2 linked regions of the Nothobranchius furzeri genome follow. The protein of the gene in region 2 interacts with the protein of the main gene of each other region in a pairwise test. Links are inferred from orthologs where the notes say so. Each region holds a gene or a part of one and is shown on either strand. Other genes may lie near its edges.

What was found.
Region 1: the proteins of B-cell lymphoma/leukemia 11A (region 2) and nr2e1 interact in a two-hybrid assay, tested with the Homo sapiens proteins (2 studies listed by BioGRID). The link is inferred for Nothobranchius furzeri from reciprocal best matches to the Homo sapiens genes BCL11A and NR2E1.

The regions. Positions count from the first base shown.
Region 1 is NC_091742.1:2,364,768-2,372,436, reverse strand, and holds nr2e1 (nuclear receptor subfamily 2 group E member 1), read right to left. Parts: upstream 4,951-7,669; 5' UTR 4,765-4,950; coding exon 4,707-4,764; intron 2,915-4,706; coding exon 2,769-2,914; intron 2,165-2,768; coding exon 2,077-2,164; intron 1,802-2,076; coding exon 1,566-1,801; intron 1,248-1,565; coding exon 1,101-1,247; intron 953-1,100; coding exon 856-952; intron 782-855; coding exon 632-781; intron 545-631; coding exon 439-544; intron 339-438; coding exon 176-338; 3' UTR 61-175; downstream 1-60. UniProt on the Homo sapiens protein: Orphan receptor that binds DNA as a monomer to hormone response elements (HRE) containing an extended core motif half-site sequence 5'-AAGGTCA-3' in which the 5' flanking nucleotides participate in determining receptor specificity.
Region 2 is NC_091746.1:23,913,854-23,921,331, reverse strand, and holds the start of B-cell lymphoma/leukemia 11A, read right to left. Parts: upstream 4,308-7,478; 5' UTR 3,963-4,307; coding exon 3,908-3,962; exon of another isoform or gene 3,458-3,907; intron 2,216-3,457; exon of another isoform or gene 2,154-2,215; intron 2,042-2,153; exon of another isoform or gene 1,914-2,041; intron 1,390-1,913; coding exon 1,003-1,389; intron 1-1,002. UniProt on the Homo sapiens protein: Transcription factor. Associated with the BAF SWI/SNF chromatin remodeling complex. Binds to the 5'-TGACCA-3' sequence motif in regulatory regions of target genes, including a distal promoter of the HBG1 hemoglobin subunit gamma-1 gene.

The DNA.
Region 1 (7,669 bases), on a different chromosome or scaffold from region 2:
TGAGGCTGGAAATGAAACTAACTGTTAACAGGCTGACTGGTGATGCGTGTGTCTTTTTTGTTGTTGCAGCAGCTGAGCCTATTTGTTTTTCTTCTCTTTTTGTGCGCAGCAACAGTTCTGCACCTTTCCAGGTCTTCTGACCCGATCTCTCAGGTCCAGTCTCTCCACAGAGAGTTCATATATCGCTGGACTTGTACATGTCCGAGAGAAGTCTGGTGATTGGCACGTTTCCGATGGTCTTCTTGAAGAACACCTCCTCGATGGTGGACGGGCTGACGGAGCGGAGCGCCGGGAGGAGGAGCAGCAATTTCCCAAAACGGCAGGGCTGAGTCGGGTACCTGAAGCGGAGAAACGGAGTCAGAACGCGGCTCCTTTTTGGGATGTCTGAGGCTAAACGTTTTGCTGAAAAGACTCTCTTTAAATTATCTCTGCTCTTACCGCGTGTGGATGTAACTGTTGAGAGTTAGTTGTGCTTCATCTTGAAGCGCAGCGATTGCGCTTGCGTTGCGGAAACTTCTTATTTCAGCGCCGCCTTGCGTGGGAACTGAAACAAGCAGAACAAAGTTCGGATTCGTTTTAAATTCCTAAAGTTTCACTATCCTATTTTATATCTTGGTGAATGAACCCCCACCTGCTTTGAATGTCACGATGCACTTCAAACAGGCGAACTCTGTTGCGTCAAGACGCATCTGTCGGAACCTGGTGACCACTTCTTGGAGCGCTTGAATCTCGGACATGATCTTGTTCATCCTTTGAGACTCTGTGTTTTCAGTGTTCATCCCTTTAATAATAAATATATGGGACATGTGAGCATTAAGGATAACAGAGCTGGACACTTTGGACACTTTTACGCACCAGAGACAGCCAGGAGGGTGGTGGAGTCAACAGGAATGGCCCACTGAGCAATGCCCAGAACAAAAAGTTCCCTCCACGTGTCCTCCAACAGAATCAGCTGCAAAAATAAGATCCTTTTGATTTATCGAATATTAACTTAATCAAAATTCAGTTTTACGGACAAAATCCTAATTTGGGTCTAGAAAAAAGTAATCTAAACTCTAAAACAAACATATTTACAGTGATTGTTCATCTCATAAGTGTACCTGATCAGATAACGGGAGGGTGGAGAAGGCAGGGACACTTTTGGCCCACTTGATGCTCATGAAGAGGAGGCGCGCTGCAGACTCGCACACCGATTCCGTCGCCACCTCGTACAGGTACATGGGGGTTCCGCTGACTTCATGAGGGTACTGCAAACACACAAAGGTGCACGTGCGCAACTAAGACCGAATTCCAAGCTCCAGCGCCTGATTTTATAATCATTAGTGTTGCTTGTGGTGGATTTAAGGGGGGTAAATCTAATTAGCGGATTTATGTTTCTTACAGGATGTAAATCAGGAAAAGAATTTCAACTTCTAACCCTCGAATGAAAGAAAATCCGATAATAAATTTGGAAAAGCCAGAAAAATGCCACAGAAATCAAAATATAACCTGCACATTTACTGTAAAAGCTCAAACTTCCAGTTGAATCACAAAAGAGGAAATATAAAGTAATAGGCATCGCTGACCTTTGGAGTGGGCTGCGCCAGACCCACGATGGCCTGTCTCTCCGGTGTCGTGGCCACTGAGCTCATCTCCAGGTTGTGAGGCTCCAGCTGCGTGACGGTGGTGAAGAAGGGAGGTCCGGACAGTGAAGATCCAGAAAAATGGGTCGAGGAGCCGTTCACCTCTTTGTGGCCACGGAAATAAAGGGCGACCTGTTTGCGGATGGTGGACGTCCGGGGGCCCCTTTCATGCTGAACGGCTGTGAAACGGGACAAGCGGACGTTAATGCGCATTTTAATTTAAAATGATTTTCTTAAAATTGTCAATTATGTGCATAAATTGATTTTAAAAACTTTTATTTGCGCTCCACCAGAGTAGGAACAACATCCTCTTTGAAACAAACAAACAGCAGGTAATTATCTACTTCTTTGGAGACTTGATTAGCAGCTCTAGAAAACTTTTTTTCATCCACCTCGAATCCAAACGCCTCAGCGTGGCGTTAGTCAAAGCGATAATTAAATCAGGCCAATTTACCGTCTTTATTCATGTTCACTTCCAGACACTTTTTCAAACGACACGCTCGGCACTGATTCCTGTGAGTTTTGTCAACGGGACAACCACCCTGCGAAGAAAAAAGAGAGAAAGGGAGAGACAAATTGGGGAGTTGAGTTGGGAGGGGAAAGAAATAGCTTCCAGTTAAAGCCCCCCTCTTGCCATTATCCCCCTGGGAGGCAAATCTGCAGGTAAAAGATCGTGCTATTAGTTCCAGCCCTGCTCCCCCGCGGCTCTAGAGCGGCCTCATCCCGCAGGATAAGTACCTGATCCCGCCCTCTGCCGCCTAAATCCTCGCCTCGGAGTCATCACATTAGATTGGATTACACCTGATATATCAGAGCTGCGCTGTGTTTAGCCCAGGACTTAATGGTGCAGGCATGACACAATTAGGCTCATCAAGGAAGATTTACCACTGAGACCAAGGAAAGGGAGGGAAAAAGAGCTGCACGTAAAAGCGCAATCCGTGCGTAAAGCTAATTATGCGCATTTGGGGACAAAACTGAAACACCTATTCATTTTAGATGATGTTACAAATGCAGCACTATTTGCTCTGATTCAGTTAAAGTTGGAAAATTGTAGATTGCTTGAATTTTTCCACCTGTTTGTTTTTTTTTAATAAAAAGAAAGATCAGAAAATGTGTCAGCCAGTTTCGGGCTCCTCGACGCCTCACCTGTGAGCCAGATTTACAGACGTAGGTCCGGTTTCTGCGGATGCTCCTCTTGAAGAATCCCGAACAGCCGTCACACGCGTAAACCCCGTAGTGTTTCCCTGAGCTGCGATCGCCGCACACCTTACACGGGATGTCCAGAATCCGACCTTGGAGAAGCCAGAAGGTTTATCAGAAAAGAGCCAAACCACCAGATGGATGAAATTACGGATATATTAAATAGCTTTCCTGCAACTCCCAGAAAATGTAGTTTTAAAAGGCCTCAGTGACTCGTTTATCCAGATCTTGGCCTGAGCATGGGAATTCACAGTATTTCCAGAATAAAGTCCGGTGGGAAGCGTCATATCTGAACTCTCTAAGACAATGACCGCGGGCGCACAATGGAGACATTAAGGGAAAGTGTTAACTTAATGATTTTCCCCCATTGAACCTCGTCTGACTGCCTGGATCTCGACAAGCTGCCAACTCCACTTCATAATGGGACTCGACAGCTGCTTTATCCCGCAGGTCTATAGGCCCCAGGATTAGGGAGTGACACTGCACCAGCAGAATAATGCGTACCAACTCGTTTCACCAACTCAAATGAAGTGTATGTAAATCCACCTCAGTGTAGCTGAAAAAAGTGATTTTTTTTGGTCTGCAGATTTGTATTCAAATCTCTTAAAAAGAAGTATATTTGTATGCATATGAGGGAGCCTCTGTGGAGGGAAAAGCCGTCTATGTAATTACACTGACGTTTTGCCACCTGCTCATTGATTCACCAGTGACCCGTCAAAAAGGGTAGCATGGGAATCACTACTCAAGAGCAAAAACAATGACTTCAGGGGGGAGTTAGAGGACTCCGGCTGGATGTTTGTTCTCAATCAGAAACTCGTGCAGGATTTAGTTTTAGCTTTAAACCACAATTACGCACTTATTAGAGATTTATGAACTTTTAGGGTTTTAAAATATATTTGTTTTTGAACATTTAAAGAAAATTGTAAACAAATAAAAATAAGAATTTAAAACAGACGCTGGTGGCTTTCGTTGTAATAATAATAATATTAAAATTATACAGTTTGTTGTGAAAGGAGGAACTGCATTTAACTTCCCGCTTCCGGAGTCCGGTGCGTCTCTATTGTGCGCAGTAATTGCTTGAAAATATATGGCACGTTTCATTAAGGTAATCACCATCAAGGAAGAAAGCTGCTGGATGTCTGGAAAAGGAGCTTTATCGACGAGGAGGAAAACTTGATCAGTTCATCTGATTTTTAAAAATAAACAAAAGAAATAAAAAAATAAAAGTAGATTATAAAAGGTGTTGCAAAAATCTGACAATAGAAACACGCCAAAGCAAAAGTCACTGGTTAAATTATAACTATTAAATAGACTGATTCCACAAAACATTCGTTTTTTGGCCTTTTTTATTATTTAAATATGTATTTTGTTGATTTTTTTAAACGATGTACAGATTAAAAAATACTATTAAGGGTTTAATTCACCAAAGCATTTCAGGTGTATTAGGTTAATACACTGAAGCCCATTTTTATCATTGAAGTTTCATTACTATATAATAAAACAGACCCATTTTAGGTCTAAAGTTCAATTCAAAAGATCAAGAATTAAATTATTTGATCCATTAATTTAAAAAAGTTATAAGAATAACAAATCTGAGCAACAAGTGGCATCAACTTCTGAAGAGGAATATAGAAACATATTTTTGGCCAATAAATGAAAAATATATGTCTTATTTGTTATTTATAACAAAAAATACAGATTATATTTTTGGCAGAGACAAAATCTAATTTAAATTTTAATTATTTAACGTACAAAATTTCTAGTGAGAATGAAGTAGTTAATTTATAAGGAAACTGGTGCAAACAGTGCGCAGAAACTTTATCAGAGAGGGGCCTTTTGGGTAACTTCTGAAACAGCTCAGGGGAGAAGATGCGTAAAACTTACTTGATTTGACATTCAGAATATCCAAACAGCCACTTGTTGACCCGGCGGGTTTGCTCATCGTGGATCCTCGGTCTCTTACCGACTCAGAAACAAACAGCTCTGCTGTTTTTTCTTTTTTTCTCCTGATAAACCCACTTGGAAACCAGCGACGCCGCTGCGCTTTCTGTGGTTCCTCACCAGCAGCGATGAGCGTGGTTGCGTCTAAGTCCCAGCTTGACAGAAGCGACCTCAGATCGACACATCCAAGTTAAAACTCGCTGCACTTTCCTCTCTGGAGAATCCGGATGAGAGCCACAGCCGGTGCGGAAGTGGCAGCAGACCCTCCGGCAGCTTCGTGCGCAACAGCGCGCGCATAAAGTTGGAGGAGGTGTGGGGACAAACCAACATAAATATGAAAAAAAAAAAGAATCAAAATCACTGCCTGGAGCGCGTCCGACGGAGCCGAAGCCGCAAGTGGAAGGAAAAAGTGAAATATTGATTCTTGTTTTGGTGAAAGTGCGCGAGAAGCGGAGCGCGACGTGACTTAGTGGTGCGAGTCCCCTCTGGATCAGTCTTGGTAATATTTATGAGAAGTGTCAGGGGGAGGCTAGAGGGTGGAGATCTCCACTTCCTTCATCCCCTTGGCTTTCTACACCAAACTCAAGTCTGACGTCACGCGCGCGCACACGTATGTGCTGCGATTCATAGAGGGGAAGGCAGGAGTTATTATTTTGCAGTATTTCATCCTGTGGTCTATCATTGTATTTTATTTAAAATTCTGCAGCCGGATAAAAACAAAATTACATAAAAATAGACTGATTCTAATTTTCCCCACATTTTTATAAAAACGAGTAAAAAAGAGTTTTCTAACCTATAAAAGAACATTTTAGAGCTCCAGATCCAATTATATTTGCTAAAATAAATTGATAAAAAGTGATTCTCACACCTGTTTCCGCTCCATTTTTACAGCTTAATGATTTTGTTTCTAATGCAGACAGTTCTCCTGAGCCTAGAGGAAACAACTTTTCACTTGTAACACATATGAAAATTAATAAGATAAACATGCTATGAACGTGGCCACATACATCAATGAATTAAAAGTTATCCTCTTGTCTTTTCTCTTGAGGACTTTTCCTTTTAGGGGGCGGTTCCGTGCACTTTTCTCTTGTTCAGGGCTCGTTTTAAAGCCACGGCGAGCTTCAGCGCGCGCAGCGTTTTTCAACCTGTTGCACGTGTTTAAAGAAGGCTTTTATTTTTCAGTCTGTTTGAACCGGAGCCTGTTAAAGGTTTTTTTTTTTGCAATCGATTCAATAATGAGGTAGATCTGAGGGGCAGAGACTTATTAAAAAGCAGCAATTTTATTTAAATTATTATTTTTAATCTAAAAATATTTAAAAAATCAGAATCCTTTGGAAAAATAAAATAAATCATCAGATGTTAAAAAGGAGGATTTAAAAATTAATTCAGAAAATGTCAACTCTTTCATCACTGCAATTTAATACAAATATTTAGGAGATAAATATGGGGAAAATGCTAAAATATACAGAAAACACAATAAACAAACACATAAATAAATAAAACATACAAACAAACAAATAAATAAATAAATAAACTGATAAATAAATAAATGTTTGCCATTCACAATATTTCTCTGAACTTTCTTCAAAAATGGTTTTGAATTGTTTCCGGCAGACTTTGTGCTCTTTGTTTTGTCATGTTCTGCATCCTGCGTCCCCCTCATGTGCCTTCTTGTGTTCCCCAGCCCACTCCAGGTTTTCCCCTAGGTGTTCTCCTTAGGTTTCTGTGCCCCTTTAGGTCTGCAGCTCCCTCCCGGTTTCCCCTTAGTGACTTCAGATTTAGTTATCCCATCCTTCTTAGTGTTTTTCTTCTGGTGTCTAGTTTTCAGGTTTAGGAGTTCACTTATCTTTAGTTCGCTGCAGATTAAGTCAGTTTCCCCACTCAGTTAATTAGACTCACCTGATCCCTTATGATCTCACTCCCCACACACCTGTCACCTGTTTCCCTGATTGTTTCCCTCTGTGTATATAACCCTGCCTGTTGTCGGTCCGTCGTTTGTGTCAGCGTTGTCTCCATTCCCTCTCTTGGTCTCTAAGGCGCAACAACCAACATGAATGATTTAGTTTACTGTTTCTTTGGACGTTAAAGTGGTTTGGGGGAGGCGGGGCTTACGTCGCCCTCCTGTGTGATACTGGAACTCCAGACTGCGTGTGTCCCGGCTCGGTTCGGTCCGGGGTCAGCGCAGGCCCTGCAGTGCCCGCTCCCTGACACCCTGACCTTGACAGCTTGCTGTGCCTTCGCAGGGTAACTCCGCAGATCCATATTCCGTTTTTAATTGTGTTCATTCCCACGCTGCACCGAGGGCCATATGGACTCACAAAGTGTCGATTTAAGCGGAGGAGCAGGGCCGAGGCGGAGAGGCGGAGTTAATTGCAATTTGCCATTGTTGTGTCCGCCGACCTGCTACTGCTGGAGCCTAACGAGCCGGAGCAGAAATCAGCGCACTAACTCTCCTGAATGAAGAGTTTGGCTTTCAACCGGAAGTTTGTTGTCTTTTAGTTTTCCCAATAAAACGGCTTTTAATAATTACTTATAAGAAAGATTCCCCAATTTGTGGTGTGCGCGCGCGCGCACGCACGTGTGTATGTATGTGTGTGTGTGGGTGGCTGTCAGGGTGTGTGAATGGTGAATGTGTGACATAATCTCCTTAACTCGTCCTAATCCTCGTCATTCACCGATAGCCTTTACCCAAACATAACCAGCATCATGGTTGCCGGGGCTTCCCTCTTTCACGTTCTTCTATGAGTGACTCCCTTCTTCTCCAGCAGTCAATGAAAGCACGCGGACAAAAGGCGGACTGGATTGTGTATCTGTTTTCTTGGATGGGGGGGTTCTGCATCAGTATGCAGATACTTGACATGCTCTAGGATGGACTCTAACAACGAAGAGTCTGATAAAGTCAACCA
Region 2 (7,478 bases):
CTCTGCACTGTATTTGAATTTAAATCTGCCACTGCTATTGGCTAAGAGGTATGCTATGATGTAAACTGGTACATTATGATGTCACAATGCTGTCGTGAGCCTGTGTGTGTGTGTATTTGTTAGCAGCTCCGCCTTCTCGGTGTGCCAGGCAACAGCATTTGTTGCATTTTTCAAACATGAAGTGAGAGTGGAGTTAGACTCTGGCAGGGGGTGACTTGCTCTTTAAGGAACGGAACAAACATTCAAACGTGCTGGTCAGAGCCAGCCCTCCTCCCTCCCGCTCTACAAATCAGAACACACGGGACGCTGCATGTTTCACAGCCACTCGTGTTGTCGCTGCAGCTTCGTTTGGCTCCCGTGGACGACCGGCAAACCGGCGAGATGCCTTAGGAAGTCCTTCATCACTCAAATCAGCAAAACACCCACAATTAGTGGCTGCAGAGTTCCTCAAATAAACACTTCTTCACTGACAGATAATTACATTCTTCTCTATCGCTTTTTATTTTAGAATCAGAGCGAGTCTTTGCAGGCGCATATTTGAGGGCAGAGAGATAAAGCATGACAGAGTAACGAGCCAGAAAGGGCCGGGGACACGTCTCCGAGCACCACATCAGAGGTCCACGCAGCGCCGGAGCACATCTGTGAGGCAGGACCAACTCATCTCCCTGTGTGTGTGTGTGTGTGTGTGTGTGTGTGTGTGTGTGTGTGTGTGTGTGTGTGTGTGTGTGTGTGTGTGTGTGTGTATTCATTGTCTCCACATGTTTCCCCGTTCTCACAATCGTTTTCAGGATGGCTGGTCTTCATTTAGGTTCATGACTCAGCTGGGAAACCTCACGGTTCCCAAGCGCAGCCGCGGGTATTTTACACCCTGTTTATGCAGATTTTATACATCCAAATTACCAGAAGCAGAGGCAAGCACATCTCAGGGAGCATTTGTTTCCTCCTGGAATAAACTCTACCTGAACCCTAGAAAAGGTTTTCCCTCGCTGCTCGTCCGTTTACCTGTAGCGTTCTCCTGCTTGGGGATTATTCCTTGCAAAGGTGCAGATAAACAATCCTCATCCAGCAACGATATCTGGACCGCCACCTCCACGGGGTGGCGCGCCCTCCGCGGGTGCTGGGTTCGAGAGTGCGATGAGGATGTGGAGAGGGGTGAGGCGAGCGGGGAGGATGGCGGCCTGTCCAGAGGTTTGTCCCCGCAGAGGGTGCCGTGGCACTGTCTCCGTTTGTGTTCGATGAACAGCAGGATGTCGGCCAGGGGGAAGCGGGTGTGGCACTGGCCGCAGGTGAGCAGGTCCTGGTCCCCTTTCAGGAGGTCGCCCTGAGCCAAGCCCAGCCTGGGGGAGTCCTGAGAGTCTCTTTCTGCTAGAACACCTGAGAGCGGCTCAGCTGGAGGGGCGCACAAGAGAAGAGAAATCAGTTGTCATTTAAAGGTTTTATTAGTGTCTGAGTCTCAAGCTGCAACAATCCTTACACGTTTTACAGGAATAGGGTCAGTTTTAAACCGTGCATGTGACATTTTCACGAGGGGGGGAGGTGAAAAGAGCTTCGATGAGGACTGACATGCTCAGCTCGCAGGCAGCAGTCAAACGATTAAGTTGCTTGACCCTCTTTTATTGTGCTGCCAATCTCGCTTTTTTAATGAACCTAACACCTCTGAGAATCAAAAAATAGATTCTAATTTGAGTTCAAGATGATTGGACCCCATTTCGTTAAAAGTGCTGGGATCTTTGTGAACCAAGGTGAGACATGGAGGGGCTGGATGTGGAGTAGGTCCCTGAAGTGCCGCAGAGAGGAGAGAGGGAGCGGTTTACAGGGAAGGAATCTTAGCCGCGTGGTAAACGACATCGGGCGCCCCGACTGAGACGTCGAGATAAGATGTGAAGAATTCTCGCCGCCGGTTCAGCCTTTAATTCTGTACGGGGTCAGACGAGACGGTGGTGAGATAGGGCCTGGTACTCGTGTGTTCAGCTGCATTAAAGATGAAGGAATGCGCCCGATTTCACCGCAGCTTATCTTAACCGGCTTAGGCCGCAGACAGGTGAGGCGGGGAAGGAGGAAACGTTCTCGTCAAACCAAATCATCTCATTCTGATGCCAAGCCAGACGGCTCTGAATAACTTTAGAAACATGATTCTTTTCTCACTGGGCCAGAATATGAAGAAGAAGAAGAAGAAGAAGAAGAAGAAAGTATCATTTCTATAGCTTCTCTCAAGGTAAAAATCACGAGGCGCTTCACAAAAACAAAAATTGTAAAAATATTTTAAAAAGAATTTAGAAAATGTTTAAAAATATATTTAAAATGAGCAAAAATAGACAATTGTGATTAAAAATGTTAAGAAAGAGAGATAAAGTGAACAGGAAAGAGGGAAATCAGTGGATCTGAGGAAGGTGGAATAGGTGGGGAGAGCAGAATAAAGAGAGTGGTGAAGACGGTCATACAAAAGCCAGCTTGAACAAGTGAGTCTTCAGCTGCTTTCTGAAGGAGGTTAGGAAGGAGTTTCCCACCGGGCTCCTGCAGCACGTCGGTTTCATCATCAGGAAAATCATTCAGCCTCCTTTTGTTTGCCATTTTAGACCAACAGCAGTCCCTTTATTAACACCGGATCAATAACGCCACTCTGAAAAGGCCAAAGGGACGGATTTAATGCACGTTTTTCTGCAAAACACAGTTTCAAACACTGTCTGTTTTATAGAAAACCGTGTCAGTTATCTCCAGGATGAGCCTGAAAGTCCTACAGATGCAAACTGTTCCCATCTACTCCGATTTTTTTTTAGCTTATCTTTGGAACAATTTGACCTCAATGCTGTTTGGATTTCTTCAATGTCTAGTTTTGTTTTTCTCTCCTGAAAAAAGGACCAAACATTAAAAATGCAATTCCTTATTTCTGCTAAAACGACCCTTTGCACACGCTTGGTTAAGCAGAACAGGGATGAAGTGGATCAAGTTCAGGTTGGTGAGGGGGGCCATAGGACCACAATCATGGCACGCCCCCCACTGGCCACACTCCCCACAGCTGTCCGAGGAATCATGAGCAGGAAATCTTCAGCAGCATGCAGGAACACATCTACACCAACAAAAGCCCAAATGGTCAGAATAACCTTCAAAACGCAGTTTTGGTTTTCTTCTATCACGTTCTGGCGACGAAACGAAAACATGAGCGTTAGAAGATGTTTCCACGTGCGAACGGGGAGCCCTGGTGAGGCAGTTTGGGGCTTCCTGGTCTCGTTTGTTACCCCCTTCATTAAGGATCTCCACAGTGCGTAAAAGCTCCAATCTAGAGCCAGCCTGCGTTTTGTTCCACGTGCGTAAAACGAGATTTCTGACGTTTGCTGCCCCCTCCAAACAGGTTCATGCGCGGATCTTTATGGAAATGCACCAAAGACACTGAAGGCTAACGTTAAATGAGGATTTTGTTGTAAAATATCAAATTTCATTTCTTTTTTTTCCTTTCCAGGTGCCGCACGCCGCGCCCCTGCGCTTCCAGGAGGGAGTAGACACAACTTCTGTGTCCAAACAGCCGCACATTTGTGCGGAAATGTTCAGTAAGGACGGGATTTAAAAGCCCTGGAAGTTGGAAGTGAATGACCGCAGCGGTGAGTCCGCGCTGCCTTCATTCAACCAAAGGTCTCCGCTCACGAAGCGCGTGCGTGCCCTTTAAAAGAAACCTTGAGCGAGTCGCTCACTAACTCCAGTCAAAGCTTTCTGTCACGTTGTTTTCAAACTTCCACCGGAAGATTCAGCTGAGAACAACCTGCGTTTTTTAGGTTTTCGCACCGGACAGCCGCGTCCTCGTCCGCGCATTCCCCAGGGAAGTCACCCCCCCACCCCCCCGAACAGGAAAATAAGCATAAACAAACAAAGAAGTGGACCTCCGAGAGGTAAAAAGCCGTTTGTTCCCACTTACGCGAAAACTCCCGTTTGCTCAAGTGCTGGGGTTTGCCCTGCTTGCGGCGAGACATGGTCGGTTAGTGGCGGCTCCTCAGCTGGGTTCACATCGGGAAATCCGTTCCTAAAAGGTAGACTCCAAATGGAATATCTTCATTCACGCGTCTGTCATCCAGACAGGAGGAAATGAAGGCGAGATCATACAGAGCGTGATGCGTAACGCGCGACGGGCTGTGCGGCGCTCTTCATGACTTCTGCGCAAAGAGAGAGTGATGGGGGACGGTGAAGCCCCCTTAGCTGCAAGTTCAACTGCGGACGTGACGTTCCTTCGAACTTGAACGTCAGGCGCTGGACGGACCGAGACACAGAAAACATGGGCAGGGCGAAGCAGGCCAGTGGGAGGGGGGCAAGCCTTAATAAAAGCCAATGGACACTCATTATGGACTACCTATGGACGGGAGGAAAGAAGAGACACCCTGAAGACACCAATGGACGAAGGGGATCAAGGGGGGCTGGGCTTCGGGAGTAGGAGTAGCGAGAACGCAGCGCGCAGAGCGCGCAGGGGAGGATCACCTAGATCTGGCTGGATGAATATTCAGCGCGTATGAAAATGTGGATTTGGGTTTTATCAGCATGAGAAATGTTGGTTTCATTCATACAACTGAATGAAAGTGTTTGGAAAAGTTTTTATTTCATTTTAGGTACGTTTGGATTTTAGTGTGAAGAAGATTGCTCATCAAGTCATGTTCTCAAGATTATTTATTTATTTATTTATTTATTTATTTATTTATTTATTTATTTATTTATTCATATAGCACTTAATCATACAATGATCATGATGTGATTTCATCGTTTATATTTGTATCAATTATCTCTAAAATTATCGGTATGGCAATAATCTCCACACACGGCAAATACTTTCAAATTAAAACCAATTTTACACACCAAAAACATTTGCCCTTTCACAATAAAAGATCTAACCAGGTAGAGGCTCTTTGTTGTTATTTTTTATTTGCTGCCCAGCTTTACGGGCCAGGTTTACTGTATTTGTATTTATTATTAACCCTTATTTAACCAGGGGAATCCTGTGAGATCGAGTCGAGTCTCTTTGGCGAAGCTGCCCTGAGGCCAGGCCTTTTTTAGAATACCAGCAGATGAGAGAAAACGATTAAAACTTCGGTCTGAGGTCTTTGTTTTTAACATTTGTTTTCATCACAGCTGTTTGATATTAAAGTATGTGCTGCTCCACATCTCCACGTCTCTATTATAGAGTCTCCGTGAAGTTTCTTCTCTTTAGCCTAAAAAGCATCATTTAGACTACGTGAGCGTCTGGCCCAGCTTCCTAACCCAATGAGTCTATTTAAGATGTTTTAACTTGAAAAAGTGGGACAAGCCGCGTTAATGAGAGCTGAGTTAAGACAAGGGTGTGCTACAGAACCAACATAAAACACCCGGATTGGTCAGCTGGGCCGTAACACCTGAGATCTTATTCTAGTAGGTGTTGGAAGAAAAATAACCTCGTTGTGTTATCTGACTTGATTTCTGATGTTCTAAACAAATCTGATATCTTTGTTCAATTTGATGTGAATGAAATCTTGTGAAGTTTAACCCTTCCCCTGTCCTATCAGGTGACCCCAGGACAGGAGCGGTTTAGTGTTGATGGTGTGACCCTTGGCAAGGGTGAAGAGGTGAATAAAATTAAAAAAAATAACACCCGGGGCCCATCTGACCCAATTAACAATGCGGGAGGGTTAAACCTGATAATAAACGGATTTCAACAGCTTTATTCCGGTTTCACTCTTCATCCCAGCTCGGCGCGTTAGCGCCATCTAGTGGTCATGTGTCATATCTGTTTAACTGGAAAATTAAAGTTAAAAATCCCCAACATGTAGAATTATAAACCTGAATAAAAACGTTAACAGCTCTATTGTCTCAAACCTGGACGGAGACGTTCGTCTGAAGTCCATTTTATACTTAGTTTGTGTTTTTATGTTTCTTTTATAATTTTTGTTCTAAATGTTTTTATCAACAAGTTGTTATCGTCTCAATTAAAACGTCTTAAATTTATGTTATAGAAATTGAGCTTAACTATGACTATAACGAATTTCTTCCTTAGTGTAAGTGTGAGGTTGGAAAAAACTGAACAAAGATAGAAGTGTTTTATTATTAATTAGGTTATTAATAGTTAAACCTAATGATTTAGGGTTGCTCATCCCAAAGTCACCCAAATATCATGATGGGTCTGTTTAACACATCTCTTTTGTCAGCGGGCAGCGCCCTTTTTTAAATTTCTTCAGGGATTTTCTAGCTATTGCTATTATTAGAGATGTAAGACAACACCTTAACAGATCATCTACAGACGACCACGTCATCCTTCTTGATTATCACTAAGTCATGGGTGTGTCCAAATCCAGGCTGCACCCTTCAAGGAAGCGGTCTACCTGGTCGACATAGGCTGGGTTCTTCGTCGACCAGGTAGACCGGAAACAAGCAGCTGTGAACTTGGACGGTCTGGCCTTTATTTATTCCCAGCTCCACCTCGGCGAAGACCCTTTCATCTAGCAATCATGACAACCCTGAACCAGCTGCAGAGAATGGAGATAGAACGTTTGTCTAGAGTTTTCATTTCTTGGAGGAGTCACAGCAGTTGTACTTCAGATAAAATCTCTGTTAAATTACTTTAAAAGCCCTGAATCTAAACTTTTTAATGGAGCAATATGTAAGAATTTTACAATGAAATGATCACAGACCCGTCTACTGTCTCGGTCATGTTGGAGGGAAGGTTTTACTGAAACAGATTTGATTCTTAGCCGGCTGGTTGTCAGTTTTTCTCCTTTAAAACGACAAAGTAGACGTTTCCACTGTGAGTTTGTGAGGTTGATGAGTCTGCGCTGAGCTAAAGCTACTGTGCATTTGTCATTCGACTCCATCAGGCAAGAGATTCAGAGCTGTTTAAAGAACTGAAGCCAGTAAACAGGAGCGACCCAGAAGTTAGTTCCTGCACCCCTCAGACACCACGCCATCTTTTTGTTTCACTTTAATATTAGGTTAAGCAGACTAGAGGCTAACATTTAGCTAACAATGCTAATGGTTCATTAGAGTCAGTTCTAAAAATATCTCAAGCTAATCTTTCAATCACCAACAACTCAATTACGGTGAAGTATGTGTGTGAAGTGAGTGAATCATGGGTTGTTTCTCAATATGCTGCTTGTCAGAACTTGTGTACTCACGTCGTTGTGAGACACCATGTTGACTGATTAGTGTTTGTTGTTAGCCTTAAAGGCAACCTGCTGGCTTGATCATCAACTGTAAGTTGCTTGAACAAAAGCGTCTGCTAAATAAAAAACATAAAATTCTTTAGCGATGGTTCCAGTTCTAAGTATGCATAATGGCAAGTTCGCTCAAAGCTCCTGGATGTCTTTTCGCTCCAACCAGTGTATCAACGACGCATCAACACATCCTTCTGTGGACTCGGGACAGCAAAGTTTCCCATAATGCATTGCGTCACAAACCGTTAAACTCCGAACGTTAAAGGAGAGAGCTTACAACTGTAATGTTTTATATTAGAAATGTGAATAGAATAACATAAA